Daphnia pulex: one gene and its partner. The protein of the gene in region 2 purifies or fractionates together with the protein of the main gene of each other region. This does not show direct contact. Links are inferred from orthologs where the notes say so. Each region holds a gene or a part of one and is shown on either strand. Other genes may lie near its edges.

What was found.
Region 1: the proteins of DDB1- and CUL4-associated factor 11-like (region 2) and COP9 signalosome complex subunit 6-like purify together in Homo sapiens (affinity purification with mass spectrometry; 6 studies listed by BioGRID and IntAct, counting the BioPlex papers as one, with this or other methods). This does not show direct contact. The link is inferred for Daphnia pulex from reciprocal best matches to the Homo sapiens genes DCAF11 and COPS6.

What each region holds. Positions count from the first base shown.
Region 1 is NC_060019.1:12,303,196-12,307,427, reverse strand, and holds COP9 signalosome complex subunit 6-like, read right to left. Parts: upstream 2,258-4,232; 5' UTR 2,170-2,257; coding exon 2,016-2,169; intron 1,956-2,015; coding exon 1,827-1,955; intron 1,767-1,826; coding exon 1,452-1,766; intron 1,386-1,451; coding exon 1,192-1,385; intron 1,125-1,191; coding exon 981-1,124; 3' UTR 906-980; downstream 1-905. Other genes in the region: probable transcriptional regulatory protein FMG_0893, read left to right, coding at 2,345-2,491, 2,563-2,575, 2,645-2,891, 2,963-3,099, 3,161-3,387; 60S acidic ribosomal protein P0-like, read right to left, coding at 3,739-4,050. UniProt on the Homo sapiens protein: Component of the COP9 signalosome complex (CSN), a complex involved in various cellular and developmental processes.
Region 2 is NC_060025.1:8,378,825-8,383,944, reverse strand, and holds the start of DDB1- and CUL4-associated factor 11-like, read right to left. Parts: upstream 2,922-5,120; 5' UTR 2,814-2,921; intron 2,759-2,813; 5' UTR 2,756-2,758; coding exon 2,432-2,755; intron 2,369-2,431; coding exon 2,107-2,368; intron 2,042-2,106; coding exon 1,895-2,041; intron 1,829-1,894; coding exon 1,647-1,828; intron 1,584-1,646; coding exon 1,345-1,583; intron 1,279-1,344; coding exon 1,175-1,278; intron 1,112-1,174; coding exon 956-1,111; intron 889-955; coding exon 782-888; intron 718-781; coding exon 436-717; 3' UTR 1-435. Other genes in the region: glutamate [NMDA] receptor subunit 1-like, read right to left, coding at 3,559-3,793, 3,873-4,024, 4,084-4,206, 4,270-4,487, 4,567-4,747, 4,822-4,980. UniProt on the Homo sapiens protein: May function as a substrate receptor for CUL4-DDB1 E3 ubiquitin-protein ligase complex.

The sequences.
Region 1 (4,232 bases), on a different chromosome or scaffold from region 2:
GGCTCTTTTTCTTTCTTTCATTTTCTTCGTTTCATCCAGCTTTCCTTTTATTCTCTACCATTTCTATACTCTGTGCAGCCCCACATGATGGCGGCAATAAGAGCTTCCTCCCACTTTCGTCGGTCCTCGTCTGCAGCAGCTCACGGAGTTAACACACATTTCTCATTTGAATCTATGCTTCAATGACGGGCTACAAATTAAATTGGTTTCACAAACGGATGCTGATGAATTTAGTTGATTAAACTAGAGCCATGATCTTTTATTTTTTTACCTTTTTCTGCAATGTTGTGATTACACTGTCGAAAAAGGCTGCTGCCAAATAGGAAAATTCAACCAGAATAGCCAAAAAAACCAGAAGCTTACTGAAAAGCTGTTAAATAAAGATGTCGTTGCGATTATGATCGGCGTTGTAAATCTGTACCTACACATTTTGGCATAATATTATAACACATTTTTCCAGTGTTGTCAAAATGAATTGGAAAAAAAGATTGGAATCTGAATCAAATAATTTTAGATGCCAAAATTTCCTTTTTTCTGTGAGCTCAACTACAATTAATTTAAGTTATATTGGATCACGAATTCATTAAATAATTTTAAAAATTACAAAAAAACTGCCAAACAACGAACGATATTGTTAAGTCGAGTAAATCTTTAAATAACCAACATCTTGGCTAGGACCCATAGTTTCGATGTAAGCTAATCTCCAGTGTATCGGATTTGCCGGATTTGTCAAATCCAACAGACTGCTAATCTCATACTAACACTCTGTATTAACAAAGGACGCCTTAAATTACGAGGCCAATAAACTTAAGAAAAATAATCCATATGGACTTGATATTACACTGCCATGATTAAGCTGACATTTTCAATACACACCTTGGATGGAAATGTAGCTGAAATGGGAATCTTGATCAAAACCAATATGTATTAGGTAGGGCACAAAGCATGTTTCCTTAAATATGTTATACAATGCTCACAATTCAGAAAAAGAGACCACGCATTCGGCGACCCATTATGCCTTGACGGTCGCAAAGTATGTTGAATTTGGTGACAAACTGGTGAAGGTCGTGACATGCTTTGGTAATGGATGCCAAATAGGTTTGCAGCAAGACATCATTGTATTGCTACAAGACAAAAGAAAACAAGATTAGAAAAATCAACCCAATTAACAAAGAGTTAAGATATAATTACGGTGTAATATTCCTCCTGGAAAATTTCAGAGTTGAGGACAGGTAACCTGTGGGTCAGAGATTTAGCTTCGCGTAAGACTTCGTGAGACTTTGGAACCTCTCCTCTCTCCATGGCTCGAATGTATTCTAATATCAATCGCACTCGGTTGGCAAGCATTTTTACTGCGTTGTGTTGGGCTTGCAATTGTTCCGCCACTGTTTAAAAAAGAAAAGTATGTCCATGACAGTTTCATAAGGATAATGTTAATGAATTAAAATTACCTTGAGAACTTTCAGCTGAATCACCAGAAGCCATTCTAGCAACATGATCAACTCCAATTCTTTCTGCCTCTTCTGTGGCCAAAGTATAAGTCAATTCAACAAAGAGCATAGTTGCCTCTCCATTGACAAGATCAATTACAGATTCATACATTGTTACAGGGAGGTCAGCATTTCGTGTAAAAGGATTAAGCTTCAAAATTACAGGACTTTCGTTAATCTCACATATTTGTTTGTGGACATGAATGTCAGATTCATTGGGAGCATCTCCAGTGGTATACCAGCCAAGGAAATCCATATCACTAAACACTTGCTTGACTAAAGATAAAAAGAAATTATGAAGAACATTTAATAAGTAAAGAATGGGAAATTTCATACATTGCTCCTCTTTTGTGTTGTAGTAATCTCGGTCAATTACCACATTCTCAATAACAGTGAAAACCAGTTCAAAGGAATTCATGATTTCTAGGCTTCTTCCTTTCTGCTTTCCAATGAGTGCACCAATCACTATGAAATTGTGTATACAAAATAAATAAAGAGTTAAAATGTACATCACATAAACATTACCTTGCTGTGCTTTCCCTTCCTGGGCTCTCACTCGAGTCCAATGTTCAGATATATTCATCACAACCAAGGGATGCAATAAAACTGATATACTTCCTGTCGCCCCCGATGAAGCCATTACATGGTTAACATTCTGATTATTCTCTTCAGTCTCCATTGTTTTATTCAAGAAAATCGAATATCAGGAAGTGATCTGCGTTTGAAAAGAAGAAGTTGAAAGCGTAGCAGTCGACGTTGTAGCGAGACTAAAACAGCAGACGAAAAGATATTTACCGGAACTGCATTTTGTTTTCTTTTTATAATAATTCAAAAAATATTAACAATAATTTATCATGTTTCAAAAGATTCGTTTGGGTATTTTGATTCCGCTCTCAAGAAACATGGCTGGGCATAGTAAATGGGCCAACATCAAACATGTGAAGGGTGCAAAGGATGCTGAAAGAGCAACTTTACATCTAAGAATTTTTCGTCAAATTAGGGTATTTTGAATTTGTGTTCTCATTATTAGTGTAACTATAACATTTTCTTGAATTTCAATCACAACAATCAGGCAGCTATTAAAGGTTTGTATACTGAGTATTAATTTTTGGTTGAAACAAAGTTTAGCATTAACATACAATTCTTTGTTGCAGAACATGGCTCGGCAGATCCAAAACAAAATATAAAACTTAGTCATCTTGTAGATCAAGCAAGGCATCATAATGTGCCCTCTGAAAAGTTGAAACATATTCTAAAGAATGCTGATCAGTCTACTGAGGATTTAAAACCTTATGTTATGGAAGTAAGAGGACCAGTGGGAACCTTTTTCGTGGTAGAAGTTCTCACTCCTAGTTATTTGAAAGCAAGACAAGGCATCAATACAATCAACAGGAAATTCAAGTAAGTTTAAAATTACTGGTAAATGTAGTGTATGAATTGACTTATAAGTAATAATAATCCTTTCTTGTCAGTGCATCATGGGCAGAAGGAGTTTCAAACAATCTGTTTAACCATCAAGGATTAATCAAGGTGTCACCATTATCTATTGGCCAAACTATTGAGCAAGTACTTGACGATGCTATTAACGTCGGGGCGGAAGATGTAACAGGTATCATTCAAGTGAAATATATACATTATGCAATTATCCGAAATTCTGTGGTAATTTCTAGCTGATGAAGATGGCAAGTTTGTCTTCACATGCAGCCCAAGGGATTTTTTGAATGTCAAGAGATCTGTTAGTCAGCTTGGCTATTGCATAATAGAATCTGACTTGCTCTATATCCCACGAAATAGAGTTCAGATTGAATCCGAAGAAGACTTAGCATTAGTTTCTAAGCTCTATAGTAAGTTGGAAGAAGAGCCCGATGTTGTTAAAATTCATGATAACATTGAATGAGATATTTAATACATATTGTAAATTCTTATATTTTGCGGTTTGAATAAATTAATGCAAAGTGCAATTGAGTATGCGTCCGAATTACTTTTCATTTATTACATCCACCCAAACGCCGCGTACCCGCTTCAAGAAATTATGTCAATTAATGCAGAGGAAACTTGAACCTTATTAATGAAAGAATCGTTCAAGACAAACTGGGATATCAAAAGAATAAGTTAAGCACGAATCATTCCGTTAATCGTCAGTTTATTACAGTTCATAAAAGTATCCGCGGTACATGAGTCAAAGCTCACCATGTAATAACATTTCATCAACTGTAAACAGAACTGGATCAAAATCTGACAAGAGCGTCTAGTCGAAGAGACCGAAACCCATATCATCATCCTCTTCTTCGGATTCTTCTTTCTTTTCCTCCTTCTTGGGAGCAGCAGCAGCAGCGGCGGCCGGGGCGGCGGAAGCAGCAGGAGCAGCAGCAGCGGCGGCAGCAACGAACTTGCTGGGATCCTTCAAGAACTCCTTAACCGTCATGGCTTCTTTGAACTCGATGTTGGTTGCGGCAGCAACAGCCAACAAGTTCTTGAATCCATTGATCAACGAGTGAGGGGCAGAGGCCAAAGTTGGGTAACCAATGCGAAGAGAAACGCTAGCCACGTTACGAACACCCTATGAACATGTAACCGATTAGTCAACTATTCTATTACGAACTTATTCATAATTGAGTCTTAATTAAATCAGACTGCCGGTAAAGGCATTTTATATCACTGTCCCCGGCCTTTAGAGGGTTCTCCCATTTCTGGGTCTAAAGGTTGTTCCGGGGTCAATCGAAGTTTTTCATCATTTTAACA
Region 2 (5,120 bases):
TAGAATTTAGCCCTGTATTTCCGTCTTCCCAAAAGTAGTACACGTAGACCTTTTTTTATAAACATATAAAAGACCCAGGAGAAAAAAATGAAAAAAAAAAAATAATTATACAAATAACAAGAAGAATTGTTCTTGGAAATTTCCACTCTCATTTACTTGAGAGTTTCACACGCATCAAATTATCCAGCACAACTAGATGCATCGTACCCGGGAGGAAGTTGATCATCTATCACAAAAAAGTAAAATAAAAGAGGGAAGGTTAACGTATCGATAGAAGCGCGTGAATTGAGCGCACCACGCCTGCTTCAGTTAAAGGTAACACCAATAACTGTACACAGAATTGAAACAAATGACTGCGTTGCGTTTTTTTTTTGTAGTTATGAAGTGTTTCGAAACAAGTGTGTTGTATTAAAGGATATATGGTGCGGACAAGACTTATGAAAGAGGGCGGCGGCTGGCTGCTTGTCGCTGCCTCTGTGACGTTCTCCGGGCCGTCTGTGGAGTTGCTCGAGCGGCCAGTCGTGGACTCCTACGCACTTCGCGATCACCTCCGCCATCAGCCGCGTCGTCATCTCGATATGAGCGGCGCTGCCTCTGCATCCAATTAGGATTGGAATCGTTGGATTCGCTGTCGGTAATGTACTCTTCCGTGTCCAAATCCATTTCGTCCTCGGAATCGGCTGAGGAATGGAACCACTTGAAGTGTCGGCCGTCCCACTATTACCCCGGTTGATTAAACTTTGGGAATTCATAGAGAAAAATTAGAAATAATATTTCATACCGCTGAATCGATAATATCCATGGAGTATGGATGCCAAGAGACGTCCCGAACACATTCAGAATGACCAGTCAGAATCGCTGCAGGCTTTCCAGTCAGGACATCATAAACTAAAATTGCAAATATTTAAAAATTAAATTGGTTTAGATTGATAATACTAGGTTATTGGGGTCTCACTGAAAATTTTTCCAGCTGCACAACCACTGTAAATATATCGTTGCCCAGTGCTAAATGCTGGACTGAAACGGCATCGGATTAAAGTTCTTAAGACACTGTGTCCGCGGTATGTCATCAAACTAGTATCACCGGCGATCTTGTTTTTGGGAGAAGCCACTGCCAAAGAATAATAATTCAGTTGAGATTTTAAACATAAACAATAACAAAAAGTTAACTTACGCCTCCACGGAACGTTTTGGAAACTATAATCCCAACTTTGGGCGTTCATAAGCATTCTAGTCTTTTGTTGAACTTCGTTTCCTGAGAATTTGCGCATGTCCCATCTAATTAATCGCACATTTTTTAAATGTTTTTTTTTTTACGATAGATAAAACAAGTATTGAGATTACAGCTTGATGGATTGGTCCTTGCTATTTGTAATCAAATGTCTGCCATCTCCACGCGAGTCGACGAACGTAAGTCCGTCAACATGGCCACCAAGAATGCCCACCGGTTTAGCCTCTCCGTTTTCCGCCAACGTTCGACGATCCCAAACTTTGCATAATCCATCATCCGCTCCAGAAAATAGGATCTGCGAAGTTTCGTCAGCATAGGCCACAGTATTCACGTCCTCTTCGTGGGCATCAATCTAAACAAGATGGGAGGTTAATTAAGGACTGTTGGTGGGTACGAAACAAAATAGTAATTTTACCCTGAGCGTTCTCTGTCGTTTTTCGCAATCGTAAATGTACAAACAGCCGTCATTGGCACCACCCAATACTTCATTTCCGTCTTGAGAAAAAGTAAGGCTGAAAATACAAAACCGTCGGAGTTCCGGGGAAAGTGGGAGAACTTCATGTCTTTCCACCTCATCGTAAATGTTACAAAGGTGGACTGAAAATGGAACCAAACGCATTAACAACATTTTTACTAAGTCGAATTATGTTTCAAGGTACTTACTGGCTTCCGACCAACTAGAATAAATGATGGAACGTCCATCAGGACTGAACGCTGTGTCTAGAATACTCCATCCGACATCTCGGGCGGGGATTTTCCTTATGCAATCAAATCCGCCTTTTGATGTGTCAAACACACGGATAACTCGATCTATGAATTTGAAGAAAAGCAAAGATTAAATCTTTTCTTGCGCAACACAAAGTCAATTGTAATACCTTGTGAAGCGCTGAGGAAAATATTGCCATCTTTAGAATATGTCCCGCAAAACATTTTGTGATTGCAGTTGGCAACTTGTTTGAATTTGTTAGGCAAATAGTTGTGGCCAATATAGCTCCTGTCTCCACCAGAAAAATGCCCTGTACCCTTCATCCCTACTTGACGCTGGTACAGTAGTGATGTCACACGAGTGGAATGGGATTTGCAACCGTGCTTGTAGATTCCTGATGATAGAGATGTTGATAAGTACAAATCAGTCCCCTAGAGAAAAACTGGTATTAAAAAGAGGTACCTTCTTGTTATGTCTAAACAAACTCATTTTACCTCAAGAACAGTTAAATCAGGTGTGCTGTCAACAGGGGGTGGTTGGGCATTTGGAAGGAAATCAAAGAAAGACTCGTTTCTTTCTTCAAATACTGAGTTTCTTTCTGAAAGAATGTGAGCTCGGCCACTGTGGTTTCCCAGAAAGGGAAAGAATTGTTGAATATTAAGATGATCTGCAAGCCACTCTACTATCATGAAGGGATAACTAACTAACCTCCTGATGAGCTGGGTAAGAACTGTGGCTATGTCGGTATCAGAATCTTCGTCCGACATCGATGAAGTATCTCTGTTACTGCTGTCTCTGTCTTCATCGTCAGAGTTCATTTTCTGTTGGGACAATTAAATCAGTAAACGTATAACGTGCTGTGATTCGGCTTCTTACTTGAAGGTAGATTGTTGTCTCACCGTTTATTCAATAACAAAGTTAGTTAACCCGATAAAAAATGTCACGCAACTAGGCAGACGACAGCAAATGTTTGATAAAAAGCTTTACGCAAACGACATCTAGTGTTGAAATTCTAAACCTTTGAGAAAAAATTACCGCCAAAATTTGAAATTGAGCCTTTTCTTCCTCATTTTCTTTTTCTCTGATAAAAACCAACGCATGAACCAAATTCATACCAACCAAATTTTTCAGGATTGCAATCAAGTGATTTTCGTTGTCATATCTTAGAAGCTAGGCCTTTTATTACGATTTCAAAATTATTTCCATTACAATTACTGAATTACGACGATAACTTGAGCTTCACGTGTAATAAACTTTATCCTGTCTTTCCTCATTACCTACCGACCTACCGTTGGGCAGCATTAAATTTGCCTCTTTTAGTCACTGTAGCAACCAATAAAATTTCTTGAGACAATCAAACTTTTAAACAAATGTGTATTCTAGCAAATCAACTGCTAGTTAGTTAATTCGTATCAGGAGTTACAAGACTAAGCTAAAAACGTTCGCATGCCCCAGGAGGAGAAGTAAAAACGGATTAAAATTCGGTAAAGGTTGTTTAAGACGTATATATAAATATATAAAAGAGGATATTATTAGACGAAAAGACTATTATTAGAAACTACACAACGTGCCCTATTGATGTAGTGCAGCACATACCTGCTGCAATAAATGCTTAAATTAACTAAAGCCTCTCTCGACGTAATGTTGATAGGATTATTTCCAGTAAGAAACTCAGCGTCGCCAATCCAATACCGATAGCAAGGATAAAGAAAGCGCTAATTAAGTCCGACAGTTGAATGGGGACTACGCGGGTGACTCCACGTTTCGTATCGGCAAAACACTGTTTCGCCTTGGGAGTAGAATGAATATTATTAATCCATAAACGGACAAGTCCACTCTCCCACAGTTCCATAAGTCTGTAAATATATTAGGATTGAAATAAATAAATAAAAAATCAAGATGTAAAAATTTAGGGTGTTTAAAATGGTTACATACCCTTTGTCCATATCTTTAGTAAACAAACTTCCTTTTTTAAAAAACAAAGACGTAAATCCAATGGAAACGGGCAAAAGTTTCGATAATTTAAAGCGACACATCCCGTCTTTCTCATATTGAGAACAGACAAAGGCATAGCATAAAGAGTGCAGCTAATGAAACAGAAAAGTTCAAAAATTGATCATGTTAATCTCTGTCTTTATACACTTACATAAGGATAAGCGTAGCGTCCAGTTTCCAGTGTTGCGGTCAACTTGAAAGGATTGTCAACTATTTGATTAGGATTACGTCGGGCTTCATCCCCAAGAACCTTATAAATACCGGATGTCGCCTTCTAGTGAATCCAGGAACAGCTTATGAGGATTTGATTTAGAAAATAAAGGAGAAATGACCTCACCAGGATCTGATTTCCGATCGTCGTATCACTTCGCAGAACTATACCAACTTCTTCGCTTGCGGCCAAGTCTTCAAATGAGTTTATGGTCGGTTTCATCTTTGGCGTTGTGAGTGAAGATGTGACGATTCCAGTGTAACAATTGACCAAAACCATAGCGCACAAAACCCAAACTCCAGTCAGGACCCGAAATGAGAAGCGATTAAATGCTTCTCTACCCCCTATTAAAGTTAAGAAAATTAGCGGCAGAGTACTAGCGGCAAAACATTTAAGTTGAAATAATCGCAAAAAATCGTTTACCTTGATTCGTCAGGGTATTAATCACGTAAATCATGTGGGAACTAGGGATAGTTGTAAACCATCGAATGGAATTGTTGTTCTTGGCGGCATCGTTATTCCAATGAAGATGTTGGTAGAACCACGTAAAAAAAGTCATCGCGCCAATGACAGGGAAAATGCTGATGAAAATCAGCAACCAAACCTGAAATCATAAAAAAAACGTAAGTAGCGCAATTGGAAGAAAAAGTGATCAAAGGAAATAGGCAGATAGCTCACCATAGGTTGAAATGGACCGATGAAAGCGAATAAACGATTTTCTTCCTCAGGTCTTGGTACAATTAGTGTCATTCCTTCAGTCCATATAAATGACGTTGGATCATTTTTCGCTACTCGATCGGCAGTTAAATGAAAGGTGGACGTAATGCTGTCAACGTTCTAATAATAAAAATAAACAATGTAATTTTTGTTTTTTATTACAACTAAAATTTTCTATTTTGCTTCTTCGTTGGCGAGTTGGTGATGAGCAGCCCCATGTGTGCCGTATTTCTCGACAAGAGTTTGGTTAATCAGAATCA